2 linked regions of the Saccharomyces cerevisiae S288C genome follow. The gene in region 2 interacts genetically with the main gene of each other region. Each region holds a gene or a part of one and is shown on either strand. Other genes may lie near its edges.

Region 1 (3,454 bases), on a different chromosome or scaffold from region 2:
AGACACGGTTCTTGGCGTTGGACAAGTGCCTGCCAAGAAGACGTTGGTTAGAAATTCTGGAAATAGAACCGGATACATCGCATGCTTCGTGGAAGGACGAGAATCACCGTATGTTCTGGGATCCTGAATTTATCAATAATTTGGTAATTTGTCAAAAAAATAAGAATCTCCTAAGCAATAAACCGTTTAATAGCGTCAATTGGATAGAACTGTCTCAATCTAATAGAGAGGAAGGAAGGGATATTGATTGGGAAAATTATGCCATTCCTGCATACACCTTAGATATTCAGAAAGATGAAGTACGACAAACTAAAGCATTTATCTCTAAATTCATGACTTGAGAGATATTTCTATTACGAATGCAGACGGAATTAGAGCTTAAAGCCAAGCCTTCTTGAGAGAATTTTTAGTCATACACATGAATATATATATATTTTTTATATATTTACTAATTTGAACGATCCGAAATTAAAAAAAATATCAATTACTTTCCTCCATGCTTAAAATTTGAAAACTTGGTCCTTGGAGTAGCCCAAATTGTTCAAGATACCGATCAATTCACCTTGGTCCTTAGGTGACTTCTTCTCACCTGAGTAAGCGTTCATAAATGGTGGGGGACCGCAGACAAACAAATGTGTGCTTTCCTTTGGACCTGGAACATGCTCCTGAATAAAATCTTTGGAGATGAAACTAATTTCACCATCAAAGTCTTGGTCATCTTGCTTGTCGTCAACAAAGTAAGTAACATTGAACTTGTCAGGATACTTTTCCTTCAACGCATCCAGTTCCTTCCTTAGTAAAATGTCCTGAGGAGTCTTGTTCCCATATAGCAAGTTAACTTTGGTCTTGTCGTTTGGGTTTTCAACTATATGATGAGCTAATTGGTACAGAGGGTTGATACCGGTACCGGCACCTAACAAGGTGATTGACTTGAACTGATTAGGTTGCCACTTCCATTTCATAATAGGACCCTTGAAAGAAACGGTGTCATTTGGTTTAAGACCAAATAAATGTGAGGTCATTTTACCACCTTCATAATGCTTGACGACCAGCTGGAAGTGACCCTTCTGGGAAAGATCACTCACAGGAGTGTATGGTCTCACCACATTGGATCCCTTTGGTGTGACAAATTTAGCAAACAGAGCAGATGCTAGGACCAACCCCATTTCTGAGTCTTCGGTAGGCAGCTTAAAAGTAAACCTTCTGGTGTCGTGGGATTCCTCCTCTATTTTAGATATTGGCAAGTCGATCCATTTGTCATCACCTTTGAACACTTTATTAGATTCATTGAAGACAAAGGAATGTTGGTTACGGTTTGCAAAATAGAATGCGGTAGCAGCTGCTATAGCAACTGTACCTAGAGCAATCGGTAATGCTTTTGAGTGAGATCTGGATAATCTGGAAAACATGTTTTTGACTTGGAATATTATTTTAACCTATATACGTTATACTATTGTTAGTTTGGCTGCTTCAAAACGTTAGTATTGAGGGAAAAGGTAAGAGTACTTAACACAAGCGGGCATTGCGAGCAAACTGCATTCTTATATACGTACCTCTCTCGACAAGACACCAATCAAGGGCCCTTATTTCTCTTCTTTTTTCAAACGGAGAAACACTCCGAGCGATAGTTCCTACGCTTGTTTGGTCTTAGACCTTTGAAGTTTGAATTGTCAGGGGTAACAAGTTCCTTATACGATATAGGCGTCATAATGAGGGGGATAGTTTAGCATTGCGTGGAGGGATACTGAAGGTCATCGCAAATGAACCTAATTCATTCACCTATTGTTACCAGCTTGCATACTAGAAATGGACTCTTATGATCGTCAAAAGGAGCACACACCCACACACGACTCCTTTGCGCTGTAAAGGGCAGAATAGGGAGTGATGTGATGTGATGCGATGTGATGGGTCTTGCAACGTGATCTAGTAGATATATATGTAAAGGTGTAAATAGGTATATAGGCGTCGGTGAAATTTTATTAGCAACACCAGTTCAATACGATCACTACCGTATCACTGGAAATGTTAGCAGAATTGTCTCATAGAGAATTGATAAAGTTGGCGCAGAAAAGATGTATACCACCTTTATTGCCAAAGTTTCATAAGGGACAGTCTGGTGGGAGAGTTTGCATTATTGGAGGATGCGAAGATTATACAGGGGCACCGTATTTCAGCGCCAATGCTACAGCCTTGATGGGCTGTGATTTGACACATGTCATCTGCGAATACAACGCTGGTACGGTCATTAAATCGTACACCCCAAACCTAATGGTTCATCCATACCTTCGTATGAGTAACACCAAATTAGACGTTGATATGGACGAACAAAGGAAGAAAATCAATTCCTTATTGGATAGAATCCACGTTGTGGTAATTGGACCCGGCTTGGGTAGGGACCCCCTAATGTTAAAATCCATTAAGGATATCATAAGATATATACTTGAAAAACATGAGGGCAAGATCCCGTTAGTAATTGATGCTGATGGACTGTTCTTAGTAACTCAAGATAGCGAAGTCAAAGAAATGCTGAAAAGCTACCCCAAAGGTAGAGTGATCTTGACGCCCAATGTGGTAGAATTCAAAAGACTATGTGATGCCATAGGCAAGAAGGGAGACTCTCACTCCGAGATGGGCAGCTTGATCGCCCAGGAATTGAATTGTATTGTGGTGGAGAAAGGTCAGTCAGATAAGATATTCTCACCCGATAGTGAAAAAGACATGTTGACGAACAGCGAAGAGGGCAGCAACAAGAGGGTAGGAGGCCAAGGTGATACTTTGACAGGAGCTATATCATGCATGCTTGCATTTAGTCGTGCAATGTATGACTTTAAGATTTGTGAGCAGGAAGAAAAGGGAGAATCTTCTAACGATAAACCCTTGAAAAACTGGGTAGACTACGCTATGTTGAGTTGCTACGCAGGCTGCACAATTACACGAGAATGCTCCCGCCTAGGATTTAAGGCTAAGGGACGTGCAATGCAGACGACAGATCTAAATGACCGTGTCGGTGAAGTGTTCGCCAAACTTTTCGGTTAACACATGCAGTGATGCACGCGCGATGGTGCTAAGTTACATATATATATATATATATATATATATATATATATAGCCATAGTGATGTCTAAGTAACCTTTATGGTATATTTCTTAATGTGGAAAGATACTAGCGCGCGCACCCACACACAAGCTTCGTCTTTTCTTGAAGAAAAGAGGAAGCTCGCTAAATGGGATTCCACTTTCCGTTCCCTGCCAGCTGATGGAAAAAGGTTAGTGGAACGATGAAGAATAAAAAGAGAGATCCACTGAGGTGAAATTTCAGCTGACAGCGAGTTTCATGATCGTGATGAACAATGGTAACGAGTTGTGGCTGTTGCCAGGGAGGGTGGTTCTCAACTTTTAATGTATGGCCAAATCGCTACTTGGGTTTGTTATATAACAAAGAAGAAATAATGAAC
Region 2 (8,127 bases):
AAAGATGGTAATTTGATAAAGGTGGATGTTCAATTACGGGTCTTGAATACGAATGCTGTATTATTATGGATTACACACTCAAGAGACGTGGTCATTGAAAATTATACCACCGTTCCTTCGCAGCTACCGATGTTAAAGGAGAACGAAATTGATGTCGTTGGCAGTAGAGGTAGTTCCAGTGCATCTTCCAAGAAATCTTCGGAAAAAATTCCTGTGAATACTTTGAAGGCAATGGCTGATCTGTCGATTAGCTCCGCTGAAACGATTTCTAATTCAGACGATGAAGTAGACTTAAATCAAGTGAATGAAAAACTACGAGAAACTTCTTGCGGTAAAGTGAGAGGTATCGAATCTAATGACAACAATAACTATGACGATGACATGACAATGGTTGATGATCCTGAGTTAAAACATAAAATTGAATTAACGAAAATGTACACGCAGGACAAATCAAAATTTGTAAAGGACGACAACTTTAAAGTGGATGAAAAATTTATAATGAGGATAATTGAACCGATAAACGGAGAAGAAATCAAAAAGGAAACAAATGAGCTAGACAAAAGAAATTCTACTTTAAAAGCTACGTACTTGACTACTCCAGAGGCTAATATAGGCTCACAAAAGCGCATAAAGAAATTTTCTGATTTTACTATTCTGCAAGTGATGGGTGAGGGTGCGTACGGTAAAGTCAATTTATGCATTCATAACAGAGAACACTATATCGTGGTCATCAAAATGATTTTCAAAGAGAGGATTTTAGTAGACACATGGGTGAGAGATAGAAAATTAGGTACTATACCTTCTGAGATCCAAATTATGGCGACCTTGAATAAAAATTCCCAAGAAAATATCTTGAAGTTATTAGATTTTTTTGAAGATGACGATTATTATTACATTGAAACACCGGTCCATGGAGAAACTGGTAGTATTGATCTATTTGATGTTATCGAATTCAAAAAAGATATGGTTGAACATGAAGCTAAACTGGTGTTTAAACAGGTAGTCGCTAGTATAAAGCATTTACATGACCAAGGAATTGTTCATAGAGACATAAAGGACGAAAATGTTATTGTTGATTCTCATGGCTTTGTAAAATTAATCGATTTCGGTTCGGCTGCCTATATCAAGAGTGGACCATTCGATGTTTTTGTGGGAACAATGGACTATGCTGCACCTGAAGTCCTTGGTGGTTCCTCTTACAAAGGTAAACCACAAGATATTTGGGCTCTTGGTGTGCTACTTTATACCATAATTTATAAAGAGAATCCTTATTACAACATTGATGAAATCTTGGAAGGTGAATTAAGGTTCGATAAATCGGAACATGTCAGTGAAGAATGCATCAGTTTGATAAAAAGAATTTTGACAAGAGAAGTTGATAAAAGACCTACTATTGATGAAATATATGAAGATAAATGGCTTAAAATCTAGTTTTCCGTACTCTCCAAGATAAAGGGAAAGAATAATTTAATCCATTTTCATAACCATTTACCTTCATAAATGTTCTATTCTTTTTTTGGCTATATATTAATTACATTTTTAATATCATATCATTGCTCTATATCCTTCTTGTCCAGCCTCTATGCAGTATTTTCTTTCATTCTATTTTGGGGCAAACTTCTGCGCTGAGCGGCTTATCGCCGTCGGAGTGACATCAAGTACCATAGAAAAGTCATCGTAGACTTACATATTTAGGCAAGAGAAATAGTTAGGTAAACAGAAAGAGGCACTAGCAGAACGTACTACGGTGTGGTTTATACAAGAGGGTTCTGTGAATAATGGCTGCAAGTGAGATAATGAACAATCTGCCTATGCATTCCCTCGATTCTTCTCTAAGGGATTTACTTAACGATGACTTATTCATTGAAAGTGATGAATCGACCAAGTCGGTAAATGATCAGAGGAGTGAAGTATTTCAAGAATGTGTGAACCTTTTCATAAAAAGAGATATCAAGGATTGCCTAGAAAAAATGTCTGAGGTTGGATTTATTGATATTACCGTTTTCAAGTCCAACCCTATGATATTAGATTTATTTGTCAGCGCCTGTGATATTATGCCCAGCTTTACCAAATTAGGTTTAACACTGCAGAGTGAGATTTTGAATATTTTCACGTTAGATACCCCTCAATGTATTGAGACAAGAAAAATTATTCTCGGTGACCTCAGTAAACTTTTGGTCATCAATAAATTCTTTCGATGCTGTATCAAGGTTATTCAGTTTAACTTAACTGATCACACCGAACAAGAAGAAAAAACTCTGGAGCTTGAATCCATAATGAGTGATTTCATTTTCGTATACATAACGAAAATGAGGACAACTATAGATGTAGTTGGCTTACAAGAATTAATCGAGATATTCATCTTTCAGGTGAAGGTAAAACTGCATCATAAAAAACCCTCACCGAATATGTATTGGGCGCTTTGCAAAACATTACCTAAGTTATCTCCAACCCTAAAGGGCCTTTACTTATCTAAAGATGTTTCCATAGAGGATGCTATTCTGAACTCAATAGATAATAAAATACAAAAAGATAAGGCGAAGTCTAAAGGTAAACAAAGAGGAGTGAAACAGAAAATACACCATTTTCACGAGCCTATGTTACACAATAGTAGTGAAGAACAGGTTAAGGTTGAGGATGCGTTTAATCAACGCACCTCTACTGATAGTAGACTCCAGAGTACTGGAACGGCGCCCCGTAAAAAAAACAATGATATTACTGTTCTGGCTGGTTCATTTTGGGCTGTCCTGAAGCATCATTTCACAAGAAGTGTGCTGAACAAAAACGGACTTCTGCTCACAGGTCTGCTGCTACTCTTATGTTTGAAAAAATATAAGTCATTGATGGCAATTTTCAAACATGTTCCAGCGGCCTTTCACACTGTATACCCCCAGATTGTAGGGTTGCTAAAACTTCTAGCGAGTATATGAGAAATATTTGAATAGTTTATAAAACCCTACCTACTTATTTTAATGACATACATAATGGTTTTTCATCTTTTTCCACAATGAATGGTGGTTCTATTTTTTCTTGTGTCTTTCTGTTGTAATTCCATTTGTAACCGTGTCCAACCAATGCGAATATACTTTCTCGATGTCTTCTTTGTCCTCCAATTGATGAAATTTGGAAGATTCGATTAGCTTCTCATTGCGAGCATTGCAGACATCGTTTGCTAGACATAAATCACACCTCTTACCCCTGGCCATGCAGATCAATTGACCAAATCCAACCAAAACGGTGTTTATTTCGTACCACAGTGAGTGAGGTAGCCAAACCTGTAACTCCTTTCTAGTATGCTCGGCAGTCTTACACTTAATAGGGTCTACCCAATTCCACATTTTACACAGCCTATGGACATGAACATCGACGCATATGCCGGCAATCAGCCCCCAACCTTTTTGCAGTGTTAAATATCCCATTTTAGGTCCAACTCCAGGTAACGAGAGAATTCCCTCTATATCATACGGTATATCTGAATCGAAATTGTCTACCAATAATTGTGCGGTTCTTTTGATGAAATTGGCTTTTCTGGTATAGAAGCTAACGCATCGAATTAGATTTGCTAATACAGGTTCATCAATTTTAAGCAGTCCATCTAGCGTAATACCCTCTGCTATTTTTAATGTGTTTAAGCAGTATTCGGTGATATTCAAAGCCGCTTGCGCCATCCTTTCGTCCCTCGTTTGAGCAGAAAGCATAGTGCCAATAAGAAATTGAAGCCTGAAATTCTTTGGATCGACTTTTTCACTAGGTATCCCACATTTATTAGAAACTAAAACAGGAATCATGCTACATCCCATAGCATCTACCGGGGTTTTAACCTTGGACCTCATTAATCTCACCCGATTATATATGGGTAAGAAACTCTCAGGAACTTTCGCCCCAGAATCGTTAATCATTTCTTCTTTAGTTATTGGCCGTCCCCAAGTTCTCGGATCATCACAAGTCCTTGATTCGATCCATTCAAAATACTCTATTGGCTTCAGTGCCTTGATCCAGTCAATATTTACTCCGCCGTAATTTTGCAAATCTTTATTGATTTTATTTTCTTTTACTAACTCAACAGTTCTCTCATTCTTTTTGAAATACTTAGATCGAACTTCTACCTCTTCAATATCAACAGGAATATGCTTTCTCTTCCTAGACCTACTTTCCTCTCTCATTATATACTGTGAAAGACGTTGTGCTTATACATTTTTTGTGTGCTCCCAATAAGCAACAGATTCAAAATGCTAAAGAGGTCCTTGCCTTCCTTCCTTTCTACTACATGTATATTCCCAAGTTAGGATAACTGCTTCACCAGCTGATTTTGATTTCTCGGCAACAAAACTAACAAATTAACCATGAGTTGTTTAATTGTTCCTGTTAGAGAAGAAAGGAGATCTACACAAACTAAGCTGGATAACGGCAAAAAAGAACATTGGAGAGAGATTTACTGCTCATACAAGTAACAATGTTTACTCGAAGGTTTATTCCAGTTGTTCAGTCAACTAAGCAAAACATCGGTAAATATGTGCGAAAAGATGCTAGGTTCACTTTATTAACATACAACATGCTCTCACCGTCATATATGTGGCCACAGGTATACACATACGTTGCAGAGCCATACAAAAACTGGAGTTATAGGCACAGACTGCTGGAGAAAGAACTTTTGAATACTTTCAAGGCTGATATTATGTGTCTCCAAGAAATGACCGCAAGAGATTATGAAGATTATTGGCACGATTCCATAGGGGTAGATGTCAATTATGGGTCCAAATTCATTTCCAAGACACCCCCAAAGTATTGGAAAAAACCGGTTAAAGATATGGACGGTGTATCTATTTTCTATAATCTTGCAAAATTTGACTTTATATCGTCATCAGGGATCTACTTAAACCAGCTACTGAATGTTTTCAATCAAAGGGAACTGAAATACTTATACAATAAGAAGGTAACATTAACCGATGGTGCTTCCAATGTTATTGGTGAAGACAGCTTATTGGATGTTTTAAAAGGCAAGAATCAGGTATGCTTATTCGTATCTCTAAGACATAAGGAGACGGGTACTATTTTTGTCGTTTTAAATACTCATTTGTATTGGAAATATGACGAAGTTAAGCTAACACAATGCATGATTATAATGAGAGAGTTATCAAAGATCATTAAGCAGCTCCTACCGGGAGATGTAAAAGGCCAAGAAAGGGTGAAGATTTTATTCACTGGTGATCTAAATTCTACAAGAGATTCGCTAGTTGTTAATTTTCTGCAAGGTCAGATAGTTAGCCATGGAGACCTTAATCTTATTAACCCAATGAGGCCGTATTTGGATCGTTGTGTCTATGACGATATACCAAAGGATTATTTTGTACATACGTGCTATTCAGGAAAATTGAAGGGCATCTTTGATTACGTATGGTACCATGATTCAGATTTTTTACTAACTAAGATCCTAACCGGTAATGAAGTATCAGACGAATTGCTAGCGTCTAATCAGTTGGGTTTACCCAATGAAAACCATCCTAGTGATCATATACCTCTACTAACAGAATTCAAAATACTGTGAGGCATTACTATCTTGCCTTTTTTGTGCTTTTTTTCTTCATTCCTTGTTTTATTTTATTTGTACCTCTCTTATAACCTTGTTATCATACTTTTTATTCATTTCAAATATTCTTTCCATTATTGCAGTATTCTTTAAGTAATATTCCGAACGTGTTCCATAATTTGGGTATGAATGTATTTATAGAAATATATAAAACGCATGATTTTTCTTTTTTATATGTATATTATACTATTAGAACTATGTAAAAAAATGCCAGCATGTATAGAGGAAGCTACAAGAGATAAGAAATAACTAGTAATAATATACAGTGTATCTCTAACAAAATTGATATTGTGTGAAAACTAATGAAACTATTTCTTGCTCTTTTCAGCTTGAGCTTTCTTGAATGCTATCGATCTTTTGGTAACCCTACCTGTAGCGGATCTTTGTTTCTTCTTTTTTAGATGGGTGGAACCTTCGCCTTTCTTTGCTCTTAAACCTTCGATAGTTATCTCTTGGCCCAAAGTGGCTCTATCAGCCTTACCTAAAATCTTTTTAGCTCTACCTGCTCTGGTTCTTTGTGAATCTGTCAACCCATTTCTATCCAAGCCGGTCCCAATAGTAGTACCCTTCTTCATGTTCTTACATCTGGAAACACGCAATTTTCTTGCCTTTTTAGTTGGTTTCTTTGTATTTTCGTCTTCTTGTTTTTGTGACTTCATAGGCTTTTCGTTCAATAAAAGTGCTTTGTTTACACTTTGTAAATCTTTAAATTGAACATAAGCAAATCCCTTACCCATATTTGTCTTTGAATCTCTGATAATACGGACATATTCAATATCGCCACATGGTTCAAAATGTTTCCAAAGACTTTCTTCTATTTCTTCAAAATCCAAGTTACCTACAAAGATTGAACGCTTCTTATCATGCGGAGCTGGATGAGCAACTGAATCAACTCTTAAGTGATGATCTTGGAAAACGACAGCATTCAAATTCGAGCAGATTTTTCTTACAGCAGACTTATTCTTATAGACGATGTAAGCGTTTATTGTATCCCTTGACTTATGAAATTTTTGTTGGACAAACGCAACTTTTCTAGGAAGAGCTTCATCAAAGGAAATAGATCTGAATCTTATGCTTTCAATGGCAAATTCGTTATTGTCACTTTTCTTAGAACTTTCCTCTTCTTTTTCATTACCAGATTCCTCAGTTTCTGCTATCGGATTTGTACCAAAAAGTTTTTTGAATTCTTTATAAACCTTTTTAGATGTGATGACAGTACTTAAGATGTTACCAATGAAAACAGTTCTTTCTGCCTTTTCTAACTCGTCTTCTTTGAAATCAACTTTCTTAGCTGCTGATGTCAGTGGTACTGAAGTTTCATCAGTTTTCGTTACTGTTGGTTTATCATCCTCAGCCTCAGCTTCTTCATTTAGTAGTTTCGCATAATAGCGGGCTTCTAAGTCTTCATCCTCGTCATTCCTTTTACTTTTTTTGGCCTTCTTTACTTTTGGAAGGGCAACTTCTTCAGTTTGCTCATCTGAAACATCAGGTTTGCTTGCTTCTTTTTCTTCTTGATCAGCTTCGGCAGCTCTTTCCCTTTTCTTCGAATCAGGAAGGACAGTACGTGTTTTGCTTTTGACTTCCAATTTATTAATAGGTCCACAGGATGAACTAAATAGCTTATCTACTGAAGATTCTATTTTTTTCTCATCAATGTTACCAAAGAGATTGTCAATTGCAGAGGACATTTTTCACTTTAAAATTTATAGCGTGATAATCTGGTGGATGATATGTCGACTGTTTTCTTAATAAAGTGCCTCAAGCTATCTACCTTCAATATAACAGTTTAAAATTTAGACAAGCAAAAAAAAATTGCGATGAGCTTGAAAAAATTTCGAAGTTCGTTTTAAGTGATCAATATATCAAAGAAAATAGAAAGTTGATGAAAGTAGTCCGTGACAGTAAATGAAGCACTTGAGTTGAGGTTTCACGTCCGCTTACAATATATATCATATATGAGGACGAACATTTACAGTAATGATGGAAGGCAATTTAAAAGCTGTCTGCGGAAACAAGTGCTATTGTTGCTTTCCGTGTACAACCCCCATTCACTTCATAAAAGAAATTAAACAAATATAATATAATAGATTATAATAATAATACCAATAAACAAAAATTTTATTTTCCTAATACCTAGACATTATATATAAAAAAGATACAAGGATGACTGCGATTCTGTTATTAGGGAGCTTATTTCAATGGGATGAAACGGGAAGTAGTAGCACCGGCTCTACCATGTCTGACTGGGGTGTAAGTAATGGAGAATTCACCCAAATAGTGACCCAACATTTCTGGTCTGATTTCAACTTGGTTGAAAGCCTTACCGTTGTAGATACCGACGACGGAACCGATCATTTCTGGAACAATGATCATGTTTCTCATGTGGGTTCTGACTGGAGCTGGCTTTTCATTTTCTGGGGCAGCCAACTTGGCAGCTCTCAACTTCTTCATGAAACCGGCTGGCTTGGAAGTCATACCACGGGCAAATCTTCTTCTAACTCTAGCTGGGGCCAACTTGACGAAATCTTCAGTGGACATTT

What was found.
Region 1: mutations in NTG2 (region 2) and MCR1 together harm fitness more than expected from each alone (negative genetic interaction), as found in Saccharomyces cerevisiae (one large-scale study listed by BioGRID).

Annotation. Positions count from the first base shown.
Region 1 is NC_001143.9:164,499-167,952, reverse strand, and holds MCR1 (cytochrome-b5 reductase), read right to left. Parts: upstream 1,410-3,454; coding exon 501-1,409; downstream 1-500. Other genes in the region: DBR1 (RNA lariat debranching enzyme), read left to right, coding at 1-341; NNR2 (NADHX dehydratase), read left to right, coding at 2,023-3,036.
Region 2 is NC_001147.6:245,372-253,498, forward strand, and holds NTG2 (bifunctional N-glycosylase/AP lyase NTG2), read right to left. Parts: upstream 4,164-8,127; coding exon 3,021-4,163; downstream 1-3,020. Other genes in the region: serine/threonine protein kinase PSK2, read left to right, coding at 1-1,431; PEX15 (Pex15p), read left to right, coding at 1,779-2,930; NGL1 (RNA exonuclease), read left to right, coding at 4,454-5,545; rRNA-processing protein NOP12, read right to left, coding at 5,896-7,275; 40S ribosomal protein uS19 RPS15, read right to left, coding at 7,778-8,127. UniProt on the Saccharomyces cerevisiae protein: Bifunctional DNA N-glycosylase with associated apurinic/apyrimidinic (AP) lyase function that catalyzes the first step in base excision repair (BER), the primary repair pathway for the repair of oxidative DNA damage.